Linked DNA regions of Daphnia pulex. The protein of the gene in region 4 purifies or fractionates together with the protein of the main gene of each other region. This does not show direct contact. Links are inferred from orthologs where the notes say so. Each region holds a gene or a part of one and is shown on either strand. Other genes may lie near its edges.

Evidence for each region. Proteins that work in one complex are often made in the same cells at the same time.
Region 1: the proteins of ATP-dependent RNA helicase me31b-like (region 4) and mapk-regulated corepressor-interacting protein 1-like purify together in Homo sapiens (co-immunoprecipitation; 5 studies listed by BioGRID and IntAct, with this or other methods). This does not show direct contact. The link is inferred for Daphnia pulex from reciprocal best matches to the Homo sapiens genes DDX6 and MCRIP2.
Region 2: the proteins of ATP-dependent RNA helicase me31b-like (region 4) and protein LSM12 homolog A-like purify together in Homo sapiens (affinity purification with mass spectrometry; 5 studies listed by BioGRID and IntAct, with this or other methods). This does not show direct contact. The link is inferred for Daphnia pulex from reciprocal best matches to the Homo sapiens genes DDX6 and LSM12.
Region 3: the proteins of ATP-dependent RNA helicase me31b-like (region 4) and enhancer of mRNA-decapping protein 4-like purify together in Homo sapiens (affinity purification with mass spectrometry; 4 studies listed by BioGRID and IntAct, counting the BioPlex papers as one, with this or other methods). This does not show direct contact. The link is inferred for Daphnia pulex from reciprocal best matches to the Homo sapiens genes DDX6 and EDC4.

What each region holds. Positions count from the first base shown.
Region 1 is NC_060017.1:7,806,522-7,811,606, reverse strand, and holds mapk-regulated corepressor-interacting protein 1-like, read left to right. Parts: upstream 1-2,036; 5' UTR 2,037-2,337; coding exon 2,338-2,389; intron 2,390-2,830; coding exon 2,831-2,924; intron 2,925-3,021; coding exon 3,022-3,161; intron 3,162-3,768; coding exon 3,769-3,822; intron 3,823-3,902; coding exon 3,903-3,953; intron 3,954-4,023; coding exon 4,024-4,094; 3' UTR 4,095-4,120; downstream 4,121-5,085.
Region 2 is NC_060021.1:9,119,313-9,123,720, reverse strand, and holds protein LSM12 homolog A-like, read left to right. Parts: upstream 1-2,114; 5' UTR 2,115-2,236; coding exon 2,237-2,360; intron 2,361-2,560; coding exon 2,561-2,694; intron 2,695-2,760; coding exon 2,761-2,870; intron 2,871-2,934; coding exon 2,935-3,061; intron 3,062-3,125; coding exon 3,126-3,203; 3' UTR 3,204-3,443; downstream 3,444-4,408. Other genes in the region: tubulin alpha chain, testis-specific-like, read left to right, coding at 1-912, 974-1,219, 1,283-1,333. UniProt on the Homo sapiens protein: Nicotinic acid adenine dinucleotide phosphate (NAADP) binding protein. Confers NAADP sensitivity to the two pore channel complex (TPCs) by acting as TPC accessory protein necessary for NAADP-evoked Ca(2+) release.
Region 3 is NC_060018.1:11,849,607-11,854,995, reverse strand, and holds the start of enhancer of mRNA-decapping protein 4-like, read right to left. Parts: upstream 3,266-5,389; 5' UTR 3,089-3,265; coding exon 3,039-3,088; intron 2,978-3,038; coding exon 2,769-2,977; intron 2,705-2,768; coding exon 2,420-2,704; intron 2,349-2,419; coding exon 2,104-2,348; intron 2,043-2,103; coding exon 1,930-2,042; intron 1,865-1,929; coding exon 1,678-1,864; intron 1,614-1,677; coding exon 786-1,613; intron 711-785; coding exon 576-710; intron 497-575; coding exon 146-496; intron 75-145; coding exon 1-74. Other genes in the region: uridine-cytidine kinase-like 1, read right to left, coding at 3,808-3,827, 3,923-4,051, 4,112-4,277, 4,349-4,450, 4,512-4,595, 4,660-4,869, 4,938-5,189, 5,260-5,331. UniProt on the Homo sapiens protein: In the process of mRNA degradation, seems to play a role in mRNA decapping. Component of a complex containing DCP2 and DCP1A which functions in decapping of ARE-containing mRNAs. Promotes complex formation between DCP1A and DCP2.
Region 4 is NC_060018.1:12,397,184-12,402,268, forward strand, and holds ATP-dependent RNA helicase me31b-like, read right to left. Parts: upstream 3,116-5,085; coding exon 3,021-3,115; intron 2,958-3,020; coding exon 2,885-2,957; intron 2,823-2,884; coding exon 2,588-2,822; intron 2,530-2,587; coding exon 2,386-2,529; intron 2,328-2,385; coding exon 2,233-2,327; intron 2,173-2,232; coding exon 2,050-2,172; intron 1,993-2,049; coding exon 1,864-1,992; intron 1,704-1,863; coding exon 1,523-1,703; intron 1,354-1,522; coding exon 1,142-1,353; intron 1,078-1,141; coding exon 1,012-1,077; downstream 1-1,011. Other genes in the region: tyrosine-protein phosphatase non-receptor type 14-like, read right to left, coding at 4,410-4,538, 4,602-4,765, 4,834-4,993, 5,070-5,085.

The sequences.
Region 1 (5,085 bases), on a different chromosome or scaffold from region 4:
ATTTAGAAAGCCCAATAATGTTGTGTGATTCAATTGGATCATTCAATTTCAATTAGATTGAATCAATAGGTAAACCACCACCGCGAAAAAGGACAGAACAATCGAAATATCTCACCTTGAGGCTTGAGCGCGTCGTCTTCTTTTGATTATTTCTGGCTCAATTCTGTTATTCATCACGTCACGCGTCTGCTGGCGCGCCCCAAAAGTTTTTGAACAAGTTGGAGGAGGCCTAGAGAGATAGAGAGACGTATACGTGAGCGGGTACTACACACATTTCGACATTTCAGGCTCTCGTCTGTATTTTTTTTTAGTTTTCCAACTACCGCCGCCGGCGCGTTTCATCAAAAGTCTAGACACTCACGCAACAACCAACAGCTGATATGTCTAATAGAGTTAAAATACACGAGTTATTATACATACAGTTGATATTGATACACACACAAACTTTAAACGCATTAGACACGTGAAATAAATGGCGGTGCGCAGTTTTTCTACGTTTGTTTTATAAGTATAACGTGAAAAGTTACGTAACAAAAAAATAAAATAAAACAGAAACTGTTGGGGGAACCAGAAAATAAGAGCCGGGTAAAAACTTTGTCGAATAGCAAATTATAGAACGCAGCGCTGAATAATTGACGGTGATGCCGAGGACGAGCAGAGTCTAAATTTTCATTCCTGATAGTTTTGTGTATGTACGTACGTATACGTACATATAGCGACGTATAGAGCGAGATATAAATTTCTCCCGGTGCACATTTTAGAGCGTGGCGTGAGCTTTTAGAGCTAGGTGTGTATTTTCGGTGCAAGTGCGTCGAGCAGAGGAGCGCCATATCCTTGCGATAATTGGAAAGCGTCGCCATGGCAGCAGATGTGCTCCATCAATTAAAGATATATAGAGAGCCAGGCGTGATGCGTTTCGCCGAAATAAAAGCCAATCATCTCACGTAGTTGTATAACCTTTTACTATTTTCCCCATTTTTATCTTCCAGTCAAATCTCCTTTTATTTATTTATTTATTTATTTCTCCATTTGTTTTTTTTTTGCCAGCTGCATTCAATAGAGGGAGATACATGTGTGTCTGCTTTTAATAATTTTTGGGGAGACGATCAAAGTTCGTCGTCCACCTGCGACCTGCAGGAGCCCCAAAGAATATTTCCAACTGTTCACGTAGATAAAAGAATTCAACAAAATCTGAAATGAATGCAACAAACAGGTTGAGCATTCTTTGAAAAGGTGCTCCTAATGAAGCTCCTAGCGGCAGCAGGAGAGTTGGTGAAGATGCGCTCGCAAGTCGACATCATTTGTGTGAAAAGGTCCATGTACTGAACTCGGCCAAGTCCATTTGGACGTGATTGAGTGAAGTGTAATGTGTACAAAGAGAGAGGCTCTATTATACGGATTGCGCAATCGAACTTTGGGGCTCCTTTTCTTTTAGTAGAGTAATGTACTAGGCTATTCGTGAGAACCGTGCCAGAATGAGAGATTCGCCCCTTTTATAATACGCCAAGTCTTTTTTTTTTATTTTTTCACGATGAATTGCGTCCACTTTACAACGGATTATGCCCATCAATTTGACCGTCAAACCGACCGAATTGAATCCACCGTCGTATTATTTTCTATTTTTCAAAAATTTCTTCCCTCAAAGTTTTTTTTATATTTTTGCCTGGCGCTGTTCAATCAATCAGATGATTGGATTGGGAAGACATTTTCGACGTGTTCAAATGTGGGCGCAACGTTCGGGGAACCGGAACGCCGCGGCGATGACAAATTGCTGTCGACAACCAATTCGTTTGTTTGTTTGCTGGCTCGAAAAAAATTTCGCGAGCGAATCCATTTTCTCATTTCACGGGCCTTTGGCGGAATTTCGACGATCGATTCGCCATTTAATCGACCTGACAAAATGGCCTAGAAAAAACAACAAAAATCCTTCGTTTGGCATTGGAAATCGATGAAATTTTACCAAACAGTTTACAAATCGACTCACAGATGGCGTCTAGGATTCTCCCTCCACAGAAAATGGATCCAACAAGCTCCTCCCATCTTTTTCCGGCCTCCGTGTAGTTCCCATTCCCTCCACACAACTCGTGCAGACAAGACTGGCGTAGAGAAACGTCGATCCCGCTGTAACAATTTATTCCATTTGCACTGCTTCGGCGTTGCACTACACAAGTTTCTTTCCAGACGAAACTTTCACCCATTTCGTCGTATCATCACCGACTTTGGCTGCTGGATTATTGAAACTTGATCCAGCTTACTTTTTCTCCAATCAATCATCCAAAGAAGGAAACCTTTTCATATTTCCGTCGTTGACATCACGTAAAACTCCACACCTGAAGGATGTACACCATTTCCAAAGGACCTAGTCAAATCGTGGCCAAAACCCGGCGAGGTAAGCCTCATTTATTATTAATTTCTAGAAGAATCATTTCCTTGTATGTGTGTGTAGGGGGGGGAGGGGATTTTCTACAGAAAGAGAAAATTGTTATTTTGAAAATGTCTGTGGGTACACACACACACGATAGTGCGTGTGGATTGAGACTTGGAAATAAACAGGTCAAAAGGCACAGGTACACATTGTGGATTTTGAACCTCCTCGCTCGTGATCTTGATATTTTAACTTAAAAAATTTCTATTCGTGAAATGTGGCCATGCCTCTTTTGGACAAGTGAAAAGAAATGTAAACGTTTTGGAACAGGTCCAAAAGACGTTCAGTTTGCTGAATCTTTTTCCTTTGTCCGGCTCGACTGTTGTGTCTGTTACGTAACCACGATGGAAGCTGCAGCCGAAGAAGATCTACTAACAAGTTCATTTTTCTTTTCAAATGTAACAGGATTGGCGCAGAAATTGGAGAGTTTGGACACAATTCGCGACATGACGAGGAAGAATTCCGATTCGGATGAAGTGGAATCTCTGGGCTCCATGAGGTGAGTTTATTTAGCATAATAACTGCGACACACATCTCGAGTTACTTGGCTGACGCAATTAACTCTTTTCATCTCGTGTTTCTTTTGATATTGTCAGCCCACCGAGACCTGTATTCCAAGCTGTGAGCACGACGAATAAACGCCACTTTCACAGTAGTCACCGACATCACCACCATCACCAACAGCCTGAAATCCTCACGAGGAGTCAACAGGAATTAATCAAATACGTCTACGACAGTAAGTTTAAACATTTATTTCGAATTGTGTTTAAACAACCCTGTCGCCATGGGGGCGCCTGGTTGTTTTTTGTTTCGCCAGATTCTTTTTAGTCGGAAAACAAACATTGAACTTTTTAAAAGAAAACATGGAGCTTAGCTATCGATATAGTTGGGTCGGACATTTTATGGGGTAGTCTATTGTGTGAATCTCTGAACGAACGGAGAAAGATGGAACCACACGTTCTCTATGGCACCAAGGCCTCTTGACGTCAGCCAACTCTCTGTAGCCCGGCGAAACCGACCAATGAGCAAACTGGATACGAGAGGTGTGCTTGCCATAGCAGGAAAACAGATAACACACACACCAAACCGGTTGCGTTGTCATGGCAACCGAGTCTTGGCAACGGCCAAATTTTTTCTTTTTTTTTCACGCTTTCTATGATCGATCCTTAAAGAACACGCCTCAAATATCGATTCGTTGGGGGCCAGGAGAAATTCTATTTCGAGTTTTTTCCCACCCGTCTTGAAACTTGTCCTCCCAACTCCCGCCCATCGCCTCGTGCACGTGAGTTGCTCGAGTCATATTTTACTGACAAAAATGTTGTTTTGTTTGAATTCCATTGCAGGATGGCAGCGAGTGAATCGAGAATTGAAAACATCAACTGTGCCAACTGCCGAGGGTAAATGTTGCGTCACACAATTTAATTCAGCTAATTATTTTGACTTTGATGTTAATGGAGTCGTTTTGTACACACGACAGGTACCTCCGTGACGTATTACCAGGACGCCAGTCCTAATCCAGCCCTTCAAGGTGAGAATCATTTGCATAGTCTCTTATCTAATCATAATGGTCTAATAATTTTTTACGACGTTGTTTACAGATTTCGAACCTTTCGACCTGGAGGGATGGTGGGGCCGTCGTCTCTACCACACGCTGACACAATCCATTTGAAAGCCAACCGGCCATCAGGGTCTCTACACAAAAAAACAAATGCCGAGCGAGCTATGACCTGTAAAAGAAAAAAGAAAACCATTTTCTCATCACCTTGAAGAAACACAAAAAAGAGAAAGAAGAAACAAACTTCTTGGAAAGAATCCTGCCGAGAGCACCCTGACGAAGCCGTAGAAGAAGATGAGATTTGAATGAATGATTAAAAGGAAATAATAATAGGCGTGAGTGTGGGGAGTAAGGAAAGAGCGAGACACACAAATAATGTAAAACATCAGGTGAACCGGAAAGTAGCTGCCATATCTTTCGTTTAAAAATATTTTTATTTTAGTCGCCACACATCTGGTAGAGAGAAGAAGAATCCCTCCCTGTTCTCGTCGTCCCCTTTAGTTTCTCCAAGAATCCGATCCACTTAAAGAGTGCTCACGTTACTTGGTTGCGGGCTGCTTTAAGTCAATCGGAAACGGGTGAACTGTTTGGGGGAGGTCCCCCTCCAAATATTTTTTTTTCTCTTCTCGTAGGATTTTTCTTTGTTCGTGGTTGATGGTCGGAACTCATTAGAAGAATGTGATACTAGTTGTGGGGGGGAGAGAGAAAGACATAAAAATGGAAATCTGTAGTGAGAGAGAAGGTTGGAAGAAATGAAAGTCAAATGAGCACCGGACTTGCCCCCGTTGTTGTACGTTCGTCCCCCGAGTCTTCTATTATATTTACGATACGATCGGGTTTCTTTTCTTGTAGACAACATATAAGGGCACACACACACTAAAAACTTGACGGCCATTTTGACCTACCCCCCGACCTTGGGTATTTTTTTGTTTTTTGATTTATTTGAATCAAATGATTAATTTTTTTTCTGTTTTTTTTTATTCTGGTTCATTTGTTTTCGAATGAATGTGTGAAAGCATGTCTGTCTGGAGAGCAGCTGAATTGATGATGATAATGTAGTTATGATTTGAAACAATATTAAGGCATGAAAACATGTGACCTGACT
Region 2 (4,408 bases), on a different chromosome or scaffold from region 4:
TTCAGCACTTTCTTTGCCGAATGCGGTTCAGGCAAACATGTCCCAAGAGCTATCTTCGTCGACTTGGAACCGACTGTGGTTGATGAGGTTCGCACTGGCACATACCGTTCTTTGTTCCACCCTGAGCAGTTGATTACCGGAAAGGAGGATGCAGCTAACAACTACGCTCGTGGTCATTACACCATCGGCAAGGAGATTGTCGATATTGTATTGGATCGTGTCCGCAAGTTGTCCGATCAATGCACTGGTCTTCAGGGCTTTCTCATTTTCCATTCCTTCGGTGGTGGCACTGGGTCTGGATTCGCCTCCCTGCTGATGGAGCGCTTGTCGGTAGACTACGGCAAGAAATCCAAACTGGAGTTCGCCATCTACCCTGCTCCACAGGTGTCCACTGCGGTCGTTGAACCGTACAACTCGATTTTGACCACCCATACTACTTTGGAACATTCCGACTGCGCCTTCATGGTCGACAATGAAGCTATTTATGATATTTGTCGTCGCAACCTGGACATTGAGCGACCCAGCTACACCAACTTGAACCGTCTGATTGGCCAGATCGTTTCTTCCATCACAGCTTCTCTTCGTTTCGATGGCGCTTTGAACGTTGATTTGACTGAATTCCAGACCAATTTGGTCCCGTACCCTCGTATCCATTTCCCACTTGTTACCTACGCCCCCGTCATCTCCGCCGAAAAAGCTTATCATGAGCAGAATTCCGTTGGAGACATCACCAACGCTTGCTTCGAGCCGGCCAACCAGATGGTCAAATGCGATCCCCGTCACGGAAAGTACATGGCTTGCTGCATGTTGTACCGTGGTGATGTCGTCCCCAAGGATGTCAATGCTGCTATTGCCACCATCAAGACCAAGCGTTCCATTCAATTCGTTGACTGGTGCCCAACTGGTTTCAAGGTAGTATTTTTATAGCAATTGCCCACAGGCTGGTTCTCATTGATTTCTTTCTCCTCGTTAGGTCGGTATCAATTACCAGCCCCCAACTGTCGTTCCTGGTGGTGATTTGGCCAAGGTTTCCCGTGCCGTTTGCATGTTGTCCAACACGACTGCCATCGCCGAGGCCTGGGCTCGTTTGGATCACAAGTTTGATCTGATGTACGCCAAGCGTGCGTTCGTCCATTGGTACGTTGGTGAGGGTATGGAGGAGGGAGAGTTCTCTGAGGCTCGTGAAGATTTGGCCGCTCTCGAGAAGGATTACGAGGAGGTAACAATTTTGATTACGATTTACCCCCCTAGATGATTTTATAATTTATTGTTTGTAAAACAGGTCGGTATGGATTCCGTCGAAGGCGAGGGAGAAGGTGGCGATGAATATTAATTGAAAATTATCATTCCTTGTTAACCAAGAAAAACATGTACCCCTTTTATCTAGTGGCAGGTGCTTGTTGCTTGCTTTCTAGTGTTTCTCGTCTTAATTGCTCTATTTATTTAGAGCGTTTAAAGCCAATATGATACTTCTCGCGTTAAATCCTCTTGTCAATGTTTTATTTCGAACGTCTTTTGGTCAGTTAGTCAGCAATATTTTTCAGCTATGAAAAAGATAATTAAGGATTGTCCATTAATGCAAGTAAAAGATAGTTAAGAATTGTCCATTAATGCAAGTATAAGCATATTTTGGAATATCTGGTATCTGTGATATTAAAAACAGATGAATTTATTATTAAGTGTGTAGCTGGTAGAAAACGTAGTGGTCTTCAACATCTGTATGCGTCATGTTTTTGACAAACACACATGTGACCCCTTTACAGAACATCAATAAAATTGCCGCATAGTTTAAGTTGACTTGAAGTGTTGTGAATGCCAACTGCATCGTAAACTTAGGTAACAGCTGCATCAGCATCTGCTTGTTTAGTTCCACAGACATTCACCAGTAAATGCGAAATATTTGAGTAGGTTATTTATCCACTACCACAAAAAAATATGGAATAATAAACGACGAAACTTTAGCTAAAAATAAAAAAAATAATAATTATAATTCCCGCACGAAATTTACAAAAAAATGAACGACAACGTCACTTCTGTCTGTCAAACGCAGGGGATAACGCGGATTTTGGAATAAAGAGAAGGTAGGGGAATGGGTTTATGGGTGCCCGTGCGGCCGGCATGTCTGCTAGACTCCGCCTACTTTTTACTTGATGTTACCAGCGTTGTCTGATCGGAGTGTTGTTGTGTCTCGCCCCGTTTTTTGGAGAATTTTTTCTGTTTCTTCTGGAGCCAAAATATGGCGTCGGATGGCAATGAGTACTTTTCGGTCGGAAGTCTAGTTTCGTGCAAAACATGCCATAATCAAGTGATCGAAGGCGAAGTCCTCGCCTTTGATCAACCTACCAAAATGCTGATTCTCAGTAAGTTTACCGGCTCTTTTAACTTAACCGATAACTCACGCTCTTGTCGGCTACTTGTCACGCTCATACTTTTTTTTTCCTTGGCACACGCTGTTTGTTTAACTATAAACTCGTTTTTCAAACTGTGCAACTCATTTTCTTCCTTCTTGTTGTTAGGGATATTTGAATTCAGTCTAATAATAGACCTCTGCTCTTTTCAGAATCACCTTCTTCGTGTGGAAGACCCTCTGTCAACGATGCACATGTTGTAAATCTTGGGCAAGTGAGTGATGTTCAAGTAAAGAGAGAGGCAACTTCTTCTCCACCTCCCCATCCAGTTCAGAATGTCGAAAGAGTAAGTTTTAAATACTATTTACTTTTATCAATCATGCTATATACATCTTTTATCCTCGATTGGTAGCTGAAGAAAAGGGTGCGTATGGAAGTAGAAAGAAAACAACACATGATAACTGCCCTGGAGTCTGGTGTTTCTCCTGAAGGGCTCAAGCTGTTTAATGCTGTCAAACGAACGTGAGGATAACAGCAGGGAATCAGAGAAACAACATAATCTATTGTTTATAAAAATTAACTACAGGATTGAGGATGTTGCATGGGAAGGCAAAAACATTCGAGTCATGGATCAAGTGACAATTAGTCCCCCGTATCATCCAGAAAATGTCCAGGGCAATATGGAAAAGGCTGTGAACCATGTTAGAAAAATTGTGAGTGTCTGGATTAATCACTACTATACATCAAATAAGCTAAGATTTTATTTTCTTGTTATAGGTTGAAAAGTACATGAAAGACCATTCAGATACAAAAGGAGGAAGCAGTGAAAACAGTAATACATTAGCTTCTCCGTGAAATCAGGCAAAATATGGCCCCACTCTTTTCACGACGACCAGTACCATTTTCTCCATCCTGCTTCACCATCTTCTCAAAAATTCTAGATAATAAATAAATACAACAACTTCAAACAAGCAAAGAGAATGCTGGTTCTTCACAGCTGTAAAATACGTCCGATTAAAAAATACTTGATGATTTTCGGAGCGTGTAGTGGCGTATGAAATGGCGAGATGATATACAATGATAACTTCTTGTTTACTTTCATTGAGTTTTTATTTTAAGTACTTATATTGAGTTAAATTATTATTGCTGTAGCCAACTGATTTCAATTGGCCTTGGCAAATTGGATTTTGTGTGATACTGCATTTTTTGTTCTGATTTAGACCACTTTTCACTCGGCCAGTACAACTTAGTAATTTTTTATATTATTCGTTTTCTTATCAATCAATAAGCAAGTTGTCGAGTTCTTACTATTTTTATCTAAGTAAAATACTTCAACAAACAATTCCTTCAATTCCTTCTCATGAGATTACAATGTCACAGCTGAGCTGACCGGGTTATATTTGTTAAGTAAAGGGAATATTGATTTTGTCAAATGCTGATGCTTCTGAGATAACGCCAACCCGAATCACGGAATCATCATATTTATAACAAAATTCAAGATTTTTTTCCCTTTTTTTAATTTTATTTCGATTAACTTTAAAACTGGTCGCTAGGTGGTGCTCATTCAATTTTCATTTATTTTATAAATGTCAAGTTGAAGTTAGTGATTTTCTTTTTGAAATTGACAAATTCATTTCTGAACAAATATATAAATTTTTTTAATATCCTAAATAAGTGAATAGTATAAATTAAATTCAGATCCCATTATAAATCTGTGACCGAGGTAAAAATATGGCAGCTGTGTATCAACTTCAATCGTCGTCTCATTTACATATTTTGGCTGAAACCAGAGCTAATTGAGCGGGAATCAAAGTGATTCATAAGACATTTCAGTGATTAGTTAAACATTCGTTCTTCCTTGTTATCCTATATTTGTGTACTAAATTTGTGTGAATGTGACCTTACAGACTATTTTCGTGAATGCAGCCATCGAAATTCCATCTGGTTTCAACGTGGGACAGTCTCTGTTCAAACTTTGGTAAGTCCCGGTCTTTTTATTATTCCTGGTTTTCTGTGAAATCCTTTGTTTCCCTGGTTAAATGCTATGCGTTTCGTTGGTC
Region 3 (5,389 bases), about 550 kb from region 4:
ACACTTCGTTGCTCCAGTGTATGCGCCTTGTTCTCGAATTCGGATCGGATCGTCGACTGAAGTTTCGACACGGACTAGAAAATAATAATAATAATAGAAAAATACATCAACAAGAAATAATTAACTGATTTCAATAGTCAAATACTTGTTGGGTTTTTGCCGGAGAATTAACTTCGTCCAACTTTTTAGTCTGGCGATCGAAATAAACGGCCAAAGTGGATTCCATCTGAGCGATCCATGGAGGCTGGATGGGTTCCGGTGAGTGCATCCGAGTCATTTCCGCCTTCAACTGACCAATCTCGCTCTTCAGTTGTTGTTGTTCTGCGCGTTGAGCAGAGACGAGCTGAACCAATTGGTCCAGTGTCTGTTGCATCATTTGCATCTGAGCAGAATTTCCGGCATCCGTTTCGCGCACTGGCGGCTCTTTGGGCCGTTGTAGTTGTTGAACGTTGAGTGGCGGAAGAACGGACGGCCACGCTGCTTGCGCTGGCAAAGCCTGGATGTGTGTCGGGGTGTGTTCAAATATTAGACACCAACATATAACCCAATAATCAATAGAATAAAGCGAAAGCTACTTCAACGACAAGGGCTTCTTTAAATAATTCCAGCAAACTGCCGTTTAAATCCGCAGATACGGAGGAAGGAGTAGGAGCTGCAACAGCGGAAGTAGGGTAAGTGCATAGCGGATCCTCAACAGTTGGTGCGTTATACTAGATTTTAAATGAGGTGTGCAAATAGTAATTACAAATGGCAAATGATCGGCAAATGATCGAAATACGCCCTACTTTATCCATGATGGGGGATGGTCCTTTGCTGTTGACCGAGGCTGAGCGACCCATAGCCGGCGATAACGAAATGGGATAGGCCGATAAGGCGTCTTGAAGGGCTGGACCTGTAGGCACGGTGGCGGAAGAGGTATCGGGTGACTCGATCGAGCCTTCCGTCATAGGTCTTGTTCCCAGGATTTCTTCTACTTCGCGACTGGGGCTGCTACCCCCACTGGGAATGCCGTTCCGCTTCGGCGTCGTTGATGAGGTAACCTCAGGTGTCGGTCGTCGTGGGCTTGAAAGGGCCAGGATCTCACCTGATGCAGGCGGCAAGGGACTCACGGTGCCTGGTGAAGTCACAATCAATTGCTTTTGAGATGAGGAATCCGTGTTGGTTTTGGCTGGAGAGACGAACGCGTCGGGTGTCAACAGGTTGATGTGGTTGGTAGCGGATGCTGTTTTGACTACATTCACCGGTTCATACTCCGACGTGGTGTTGATGGTGGAGAAGGAGGTTCCAATAGCCTCGCCCAGTGGGACCGAAGTCCCCAATTCAAAGACTGCTTTGCACTTTTGCAGCGACTTGGGCTGCACTACGAACATCTTCATTATCACTTTACTGGCCTTTTCATCTCCATCAAAGTCCTCGTCACCCAATGGCTGGGAAGGTGGCCTAATTGAAGCTTCCCGGATGGCAACACTAATGGCTGAGAAAGGCAACAGGAGTTGAGTGATGCTGCTCACTTTCGAGATGGTTCGTTCTTCCGATTTGGAAGGTACTTCGCCGTCATCAGAGAGCGGATTCCTCTCTTCTGGCTCCTGTTCTATGTGCATAACGTACAAAGCCTATTGACAAAATTAGATTGGTATGAGAGTTGAGTAAATCAAAGAAAGGTGGGATATAAATAACCTTGCGATGAATGTCGGAAATAAGAAGGAATGAAGCCGACAAGTCGAGTGTCATTTTTTGGATAATGGGAATAGAATCATCCGATTTGAAACGGATCGTCTGATGGCACTTCCACAATTCACAGGACCATAGCTTAAACTCTGTGTTGTTTTCCGCGGATGTGACTGCCCACTTCCACAGCGGACATCTATAGACGAATCGAAGAGTGTCGTTGAGGATTGGAAGAAACAATGCCGAACAAAATAGACTTACTCTCTGATAGTTGGATGACTGAGATTGTCCAAGAAAATAATGCCTGAGAGTCTTTTTCCTTCATGTGGTTGCCACTTGTGCAAAATTTTTGGAATTTCCTTTTTAATATTGACCTAGAATAAAAATTGCAGCATTTAGCAAATGCCTAGTTAGTTAAAAGTAATTTTCACATACCAAAAAGAATCTGACGTAGCCATCCAAACTGGCGACAGCAATTGCTGTTGAATCTGGAGAAAATGCCACATCAACAACAGCATCATCAAATGAGGTAATTTGAGTGGATCCAGTAGTCACACTGGGGTAGGTGACTGTTCCATTGATATGACCCAGATGCCATATTTCCACACGGCAATCATGTACCGCTGCAAGCATTAATGCATGATCATCAGCATCATTTCTCAAACCATCACTCAATTCATCTGTGAGAAAGAAAATCAAACAAGAAAATTAGTATAACAAAATACAAATTCTAATAGAAATAACAACAAACCTAGAGTTTTGGGATTTTCTGGGACATAGGGACACCAGACTACACGATGGCAGTCGGTGGCAGTAGTAATTCCATCGGGATTCACTTGCAAAATCAATTGAGCAGTTGATCCAATGATCTCATGGACGAGAAGGTAACTATATTCATCGACAGCAGCCACAAGTATCCTTTTCTCATGGAACGCAAAAGACAGGTCTCGAACAAAGCCATGGAATCCCTTTAATAGGATTCTATCACTGCTCCCAGTTCTTATCACTCGAACCATGCCAGCTGATTTTCCGGGGACTAAACAACCAAAACAGAATTAGTGAATGTAGTTAAATACTTGCACATTGTTGGTATTAATAACCTGTCAGTGCATATGCAAAATATTGCCCCTTGTAATGAGTGGCAACCAGGTTTCCCCAGTGGAAAGCTTTATCCCATGATGAATCAACTATATTTTTAACTTTGATCTGTGAGCTACCAGAACGGTGCCCTCCATTAACTGGATAAATAACAACATCTTCTGATGATTTTGTTGCAACACTTTGCCAATCCATCGCCTCTGAAAACATACTGTAAAAATATTTATGTAATCAAGTCTTTCTCAATAATTTGTTAAGTAATAGTCACACACATGGTAAGTTCCTCATCTTTGCTCGTTTGACCATTAAAACTGCAGCTCATGGTGAATCTCTCGACGGGTGTATAATCAGCGAGAAAAACCAACCACGTGCGATAAAATACAGATGAATTTTACAAAATTTTCTAACTGAACTAATAAAGACAAACGACTCCGACGAAATCGACCGGTGTGCAAGTGCAACAAACTGTGTGTCTGATTTCGCTTCGTCGTAACTCGTAACTGCTGAGCCGAAAACAAAAGAAGATCGCACCGCGGCTTACAAACATGTTGATAAACAAACGTTTATCTTTGTTTTTCCAAGATTCGGCGGTAAATGTTGGTTGTTGCCTAAAATGCCTATGCCCAACAAACTATTTAATGTCTTTATTTAATTCATTTCATTGAAATATAATTTTTTTTATTGAAATGAAGAAAAATGGCCGTTTATAACACATTAACACAAAATGTATTATTGTTCTTTTTCACGAGTTTGCCAATAATCAGTTAGTAAGTATAATAAACTAAAATAGGAGAAAGCAAAAATTTTTATGTTCTTTTCTGTGTAAAAAAACATCAGATTGACTGAGTGGAAACAATAAGAAAAGACATTTAATTTAGTCTTCTATGACTGTTTGGTCCAGATATTAATCTGTAAGATTTTTAAATCACAATTTTATAAGAGAAAGAAAATTAAGTACTGAGTGGTCTCTTGCATCATATAGGGGGACAGAAAAAATACACTAGGGGAATCCAGCTATTTCAAATAATTAGGAAATCTTCTTTACATTTCATTAGGGGGTTCTGAAAATTAACAACAACAAAAATGTTTAGAAGATAATTCAATTATTTAGAAGATGAGTAATTTTATTATGAATAATAGATAAAAATCGACGAACCTGTGCCAAAGTATCGGTCTCCAAAATTACCAATACCAGGCTTGACAAAGAATTTTTCGTTGATTTCTGGGTCAACTGCAGAGGAAACAATTCTCACCCTGGGAAAGGCGTAGGCAATCGAATGTACACCTATTTATAAGCAGAAAAATAAAGCATCGATTAAGATGATTTCTTTTCAATTTTGATTACCTGAAGCGGCCATCAGTAAGGAGGCGACTAGGATATTTTCCTCAGGAACGTCATGATCAAGGAGCACCCTGATCGCCATCATGGCTGCAGCTCCAGTCGCCACAGTTGCATCCATCAAAATGACTAGATAGTCTTTAATGTCACGAGGTAGTCGAAGATAGTACAGCTAAAATTCATTTAAAAAAAAGGAACTTGTTATTAAGTAATGTAATAATAATAAATTGATTAGCTATTTACTTCAGGTTCTCCTGTTTCGATGTTATTCTGGATAAGGATTTTCCCGATACGAATATCTTTACATACTTCAGAAAGTGCTTGTTCCATAGTTTCTCCAGCTCGCTAAAGATACGGTATTTTTTAAAAATATTTTATGGTATTTATTTAAGCTTTAACCAATTACCAAAACGGAAACTCCAACGATTTTATCAGTAGCTATGCGCTTCCCTTGATATGAAACTCCTTGTGGTGTGTCTACCGTGGTATCCTAAAGAAACAATCCATTTCTTTAATAACAACATTTATGCGTATCTTAATTAGGGAGGTTATACCTTAAACGGCAGTAAAGACAGAGCAAACTCTATTGTTAATCGAATCAGCCGACGTGAATAGAAGATGAATTCATCACGAGGAGTCTCTTTGTTACGAATGAAAGTGTGTAAACCCTTGACTTGCGGGGTTAACGGCAGAATATGAAGAGAGTTTGGCAGTGGCTGATCCACTTGTGCGGTAGCCAAGATGGGCCTTAACTTGAAACCTCTCTGTGGAATAAAGAACAATAATTAGAATAACCAATCGTATTAATTCCAAGAAGTAATATCGTGCACACCAATTGTAGTTGCGTCTGAACGTGTTGCACAATAAGACTGATGGCGACTTCATTGTCACCACCACGAGGAACGATAATATCAGCGTGCGCCATCAGAGGTGCAATGTAGTGCTCGAACGATGGTTTGACAAATGAACTGTATTGTTTCAAGACTCCCTCTAGCTCGCGTCCGCGTTGAGAGATGTCGCGCCGCAAACGCCGCGCCAACCGTATATCCGAGTCCGTGTCAACAAATACTTTCATGTCCAGCAACTGATAAGAAATGGTTCCACTTTTTAAACAGAATGCTTTTCAATAGTCAGTGTGAAGCACATCTATTTACCGAAACAATTTCCTGATTGTAAAACGTCAAAATTCCCTCGAAGATAATCACGTTGGCACCATACATGGTTTTCTGTTAGATAACAAGAAGATAGAAAATAAAGAAAACTCTGAAATCATATTATCGTCAA
Region 4 (5,085 bases):
TCAGAAAGCGTTTATTAATAATTTCGACAATTTGTTTAAACGGCAAACACTTGAAATTGAAAAGAAAAATTTTTTTTTTGTTTCTTCTGGAGGTGAAACTAAGAATTTTTATGTTTTTTTTTGTTGTTTTGAAGTCGACTTCTTGAGGGTATACAGATGGGAAGAAGTGCATAATGACACTTGAGATCTCGCTCATTCTATCAGGTCACGTTCGGTAATGTTCATCAGCAAACTGTCGCGTTCGGGATATAAAGCTCGTGCAATTCGGCGAGCACAGAGTCACAATCGGTATTAAGAGGAGTACGAAAAATTCCATCCAAACGCAGTTGGGCGAGAATTTTGGTACGATACATGTTAACAAATATACAATTCACATTCAGGTAGTGGGTCGGCTAGATTATGTATATAAAATGTAACGGGCGGCTTTCAAGTCTTATATCGGTGAAACTTTCCTCGACGAGGGAGCCATTGTAACATCACCAGTGGACTGCTTTTGGGAGCGAGATTCTTCCATTCCAAAAGCAATGCAAAGTGTACCAAGCTGACCCCCCCAAACTTCATTTCACATACTTACTCCCTGACGGAATCTCATCTTTTACGGAACCTGCCGCCCTAACGCTTTAGCCTTCGACGTTCACACATCCATTCACGCAAAACATTGTACCCAAAAAAACAAAACAAAAACTTTTCTCCTAAACTGAAAAAAAAACTGGCTCTTCGCCACCGTGAGAATTTACATATTTACAACAGTCTTTCGATAGCGCATGCTTAAAGTTATCCTTGTTTTTACTCTTGTACAATGGTTTTTTTCCCTACATGCTGCAGCACTCCTCCAATTGCTAATGAGTGCTTTTCATTAATTCTGATCTTCAATACATTGGTCCCAGTGAACGACCTTTCATAAATTTCACTTACAGGATTCATTTTCTTTTCTTTTTTCTCAATTTTTTTTTGTGTCCTATCATGACGTTGTGTGATGCATGCGCTTTTCGAAGACATTCTCTCGCCTTTTTACTTTCCTGATTGCTCCTCGGAATCTTCTTGGAACTCGGCCACGTAGAGGGATTTGTCAATGACCTTCATTGAAAAAATAAAACAATGTAAATACAATGAATACTTGCACGAGATATCCAAGACTAACCTTAGGAATGGGCTTGATTTCAGTGCTAAGTTCACTCTCAATGCGATGCAGGGCGAAACGATCTTCATAAGTAATCAGATTGATAGCAATACCCAGGTGTCCAAACCGACCCGAACGACCAATCCTGTGCAGGTAAGTTTCAGCCATCTTGGGAAAGTCGAAGTTGATGACCACGTTCACAGCTTGAATGTCAATACCACGAGTGAACAAATCTGTTATAAAAACGCAAAAGATTAGTTTCAACATCCTTTTCTCTTCTTGGCTTCACATTATTAAATGAATCAGATGTTGATTTTCTTTCAGACGAAAGAAGGGGAATCCAACAAAAAGTTCATCATAACAGTCGAGCACTTAACATTACAAAGATGAAGCAAATCTTACCGGAGCACACGAGGTTACGGCACAGCCCATTACGGAAATCATGGAAGACGCGGTTTCTGTGAGCTTGCTGCATACGGGCATGAATGTAATAGCACGAGTAGCCCAGCTCAGTGATCTTCTTAGCCAAAAGTTCCACACGTTGAGTGGAGTTGCAGAAGATAATACTTTGATTGATCTGCAACTATAATATCAACACAGATATTAATATCGTGACTTTAAAACACAGCAGTTAAAATTAATTCAAGTAAAATCAGGTGTTGATTTTCTCTCAGACGAGAGAAGGGGAATCCAACAATAACTCATCAGTCTTATACTGAAAATCTAAATAAACCTTTACTTACTTTAGAAAACAGCGTATTGAGGCAGTGCACTTTTTGCCGTTCTTGGACAAAAGCGTAGTATTGCGTGACACCTTTCAGTGTTAGTTCTTCCATCAAATTGATTTCATATGGGTTATCAATGTGTTTCCTCTGTGGATACAATCATTGTTAAATCAAGAACCAAATTACAAGAACCAATAAACCTACCATAAACTCCTCGACAGTTACAGGGAAAGTTGCCGAATAAAGCAAAATTTGGCGCTTGGCTGGTAGGAACGAAATTATACGATCCAACATTCCCATGAAGTCTTGAGAGAGCAGTTTGTCAGCCTAGTTACACAAAAGAATAAGAACAATCGTCTAACAGAACTCTTAATAATTCCCACATACCTCATCCAAAACAAGGACCTTACAACGGTCCATTACCGCAATCTTCTTTTCCATCAGATCCAAAACACGACCAGGAGTGGCAATCACAACATGAACTGGAAGAAACAATGATTGTTAAAACTTGCATGGAAGTAAACAAGGAATAATGAATACCTTTTCCAAAGATCCTCATAATGTCATCTTTCAGGTCAGTACCACCAGTAGTCACCATGATACGAATATCCAAATGTTTAGCTAGTTCAATGCAGATTTGGCTTGTTTGCAATGCCAGTTCACGTGTTGGCACAACAATTAATGCTACAAAGAAAAAAAAATTAGGCCCAGAACTGTAAGAAAAACTTAAACTTGTCAGTACCTTGGATGTGTTGCTCAGACGGAACTACTTGTTCCAATACTGGTATACAATAAGCACCTGTTTTTCCAGTTCCATTCTTAGCACGAGCCAGGATATTACGCCCAGTCAGAGCCATAGGAATTCCAACCTCTTGAATGGGTGAAGGTGTCTCCCATCCCTTTTCAAAGATACCCATCAACAATTCACGCTTCAGACAAAAGTCTTCAAAACTTGTTCCCTTAGTGTTGGTAACATCCTGAAATTAAACCAAAAATTTAACCCCCAACTCTCATAGATGTTTGAATGAAAGAATATTACGCTAGTCTGTTTTCTACGATCCTTGGGTGGGATCTTCAACTGAGACTTCCAGAAATTGTCAGAGTTATTCTCTCTAAAATATTAACAAAAACAGTCATGAAATACGAACAAAGAACACATGATTTTTAAGACTTACTGCTTCGCAATTAGCGGCTGAGGACTGGGTCTCATCGGCGAAAGGGCATGATTGTTGGCCACTAAGCTTGGCTGACTAGCAACGGCTTCTGCCATGGTTTTCTCTTCTTTTCTTTTTCTTCTTACTTAACAAAACTTTCGAGCAAAATGCCGAATTCCTTCTTCAACAACGATCACTTGAACTTAAGTTTCTCCAACGAAGGCGAACGATTTCTGCAAACGAAAATAACGTGAAACCAAAGAAGCAGGAACTATGGCTTCAGTCTTCTGTGCACATACAAACGTCGCTTACTAAACCTGAAATAAAATGAGAAAAATCGAATCTGTCAATGGCGGTAAGTCAACAGAATCGGCGTCCATATACACAAAGACTTTTGATCGTGTAACACTGAAGCATTCAATTTCGAATAAAATAAATCTCAGCAAATGACAAACTGACCTAGTAGACCAGTAGTTGAGATATAATAGACAAGTTTTTAAACACGAGCAAGGATGTCAACGGATAAAGAATTGGTTTATCTGAGAAACAGTGTTCACTATGGCGCTCTACGCATCGAAAGCAAAGCAGCGACTGTTTGTGAGTGAGTCAGTCCACAGATAGGGGGAGGGTCGTGACAAACAAGTTAGAGCAAGCAAAACAAAACTTGGATAATATTCAACAATTGACATCACTCAAAATGAAGAAATTAAGAGAAGAAAATATACCAACCTTACGAAGATGTTGACTAAATTGGAAAATAATTAACAAGTGTGTCAATGTTCGGGAACAATGTCTATCTATTTTGCGCGAGAGTCGAAAGGGATCTGAGTAGAGATAGTAGTCGAAGTCTCTGTTTAGTCCTCCTGGTGGCGGTTAGAGGTAATGAAACATCCCTTCAGGGCTTACTCGTGCCTGGCTTAAGGGGGGAGGCGGGAGGATAGGTATATTGAGTTCCACGTCGCCAAATTGTAGAGCATCTAGGGAATTTCAATTATATTAATTCGATAATTTTTATTATTTATTAAATGAATGAAGATCAGGTGTTGTTTAAAAATATCGTTTATTATTTAATTCTCTATCAATAAAAAAAGGCACGTCATAGGGACTAGGCGTGAGTTAATAATCTATAAAATTGCTGCACATCGTGGAGTTAGTAGAAATGCAATAGAAATTGAAGAAACGCATGTGATTGAAACACTCTTTACAAATTGTATAATAGCTTTCCCACAATTCATTAATAGTGGTATGTTATGAAAAAAAGCAAGCAAATAATGGTTGGTGATCATATGAATTGCCTAAGTATCACAAAAATGGAGGAACATGTTGATTGGCTTGTTCATCTTTCAACAATTGAATCAAAGGCCGAATGCATCGTGTGTGTGTGTGTGTTTTAAATATATCATTGCAAGATCAAATGAGTCGAGAGCGGCCAAGGTAAGCAAGTAGTAGGGCATATATTGAACGATACTGGGCAACGGTCTGCACCATAAGCATCCTTTGCTGGCGCAGGTGATTAATAAGTTTCGGGACGTCGACGACCTGTTGATTATAGAAAGAACATTAGCCCAATGATTTGATTAGGCAGATTTGAATGATACTCACAACATTGTGATCGAGTGATGTAAGTAAAACGTCGCAAGCGATGGTGACACCTGTTCGACCAACACCCGCTCCGCAATGAACCAACACTGGCGTGTTTCGGTTCTTACCCAGTGGAACATCAGACACGGAATGTCTTCGCACTGTGTCCATCTCCTCCAAAAAACCTGAAATCAATTATTTTTATGTTAACCCCAAACATTGTAAACAAAATATCCAATCAAATTTGTCTTACTAAGGAAAGAGGTCACATCTTTGGGGCAACCGTGATCAGCCCAGTCAGAGTATTGAAGATGCCAAATGCTGCGTTGTTGAGCTGTTGGCAGGTGAGTTACATCTAACTTTGTGATGGATTGACGGCCGGATAGTTTGCCAACCTGCCGCGTGATTTTGTACTAAACCACAACAACAACAAAAAAGCAACAAATAAAAACAATACTCTAGGTATTCCATGAGCAATGCAATTAGTACTTCGCCAAATTCTAAT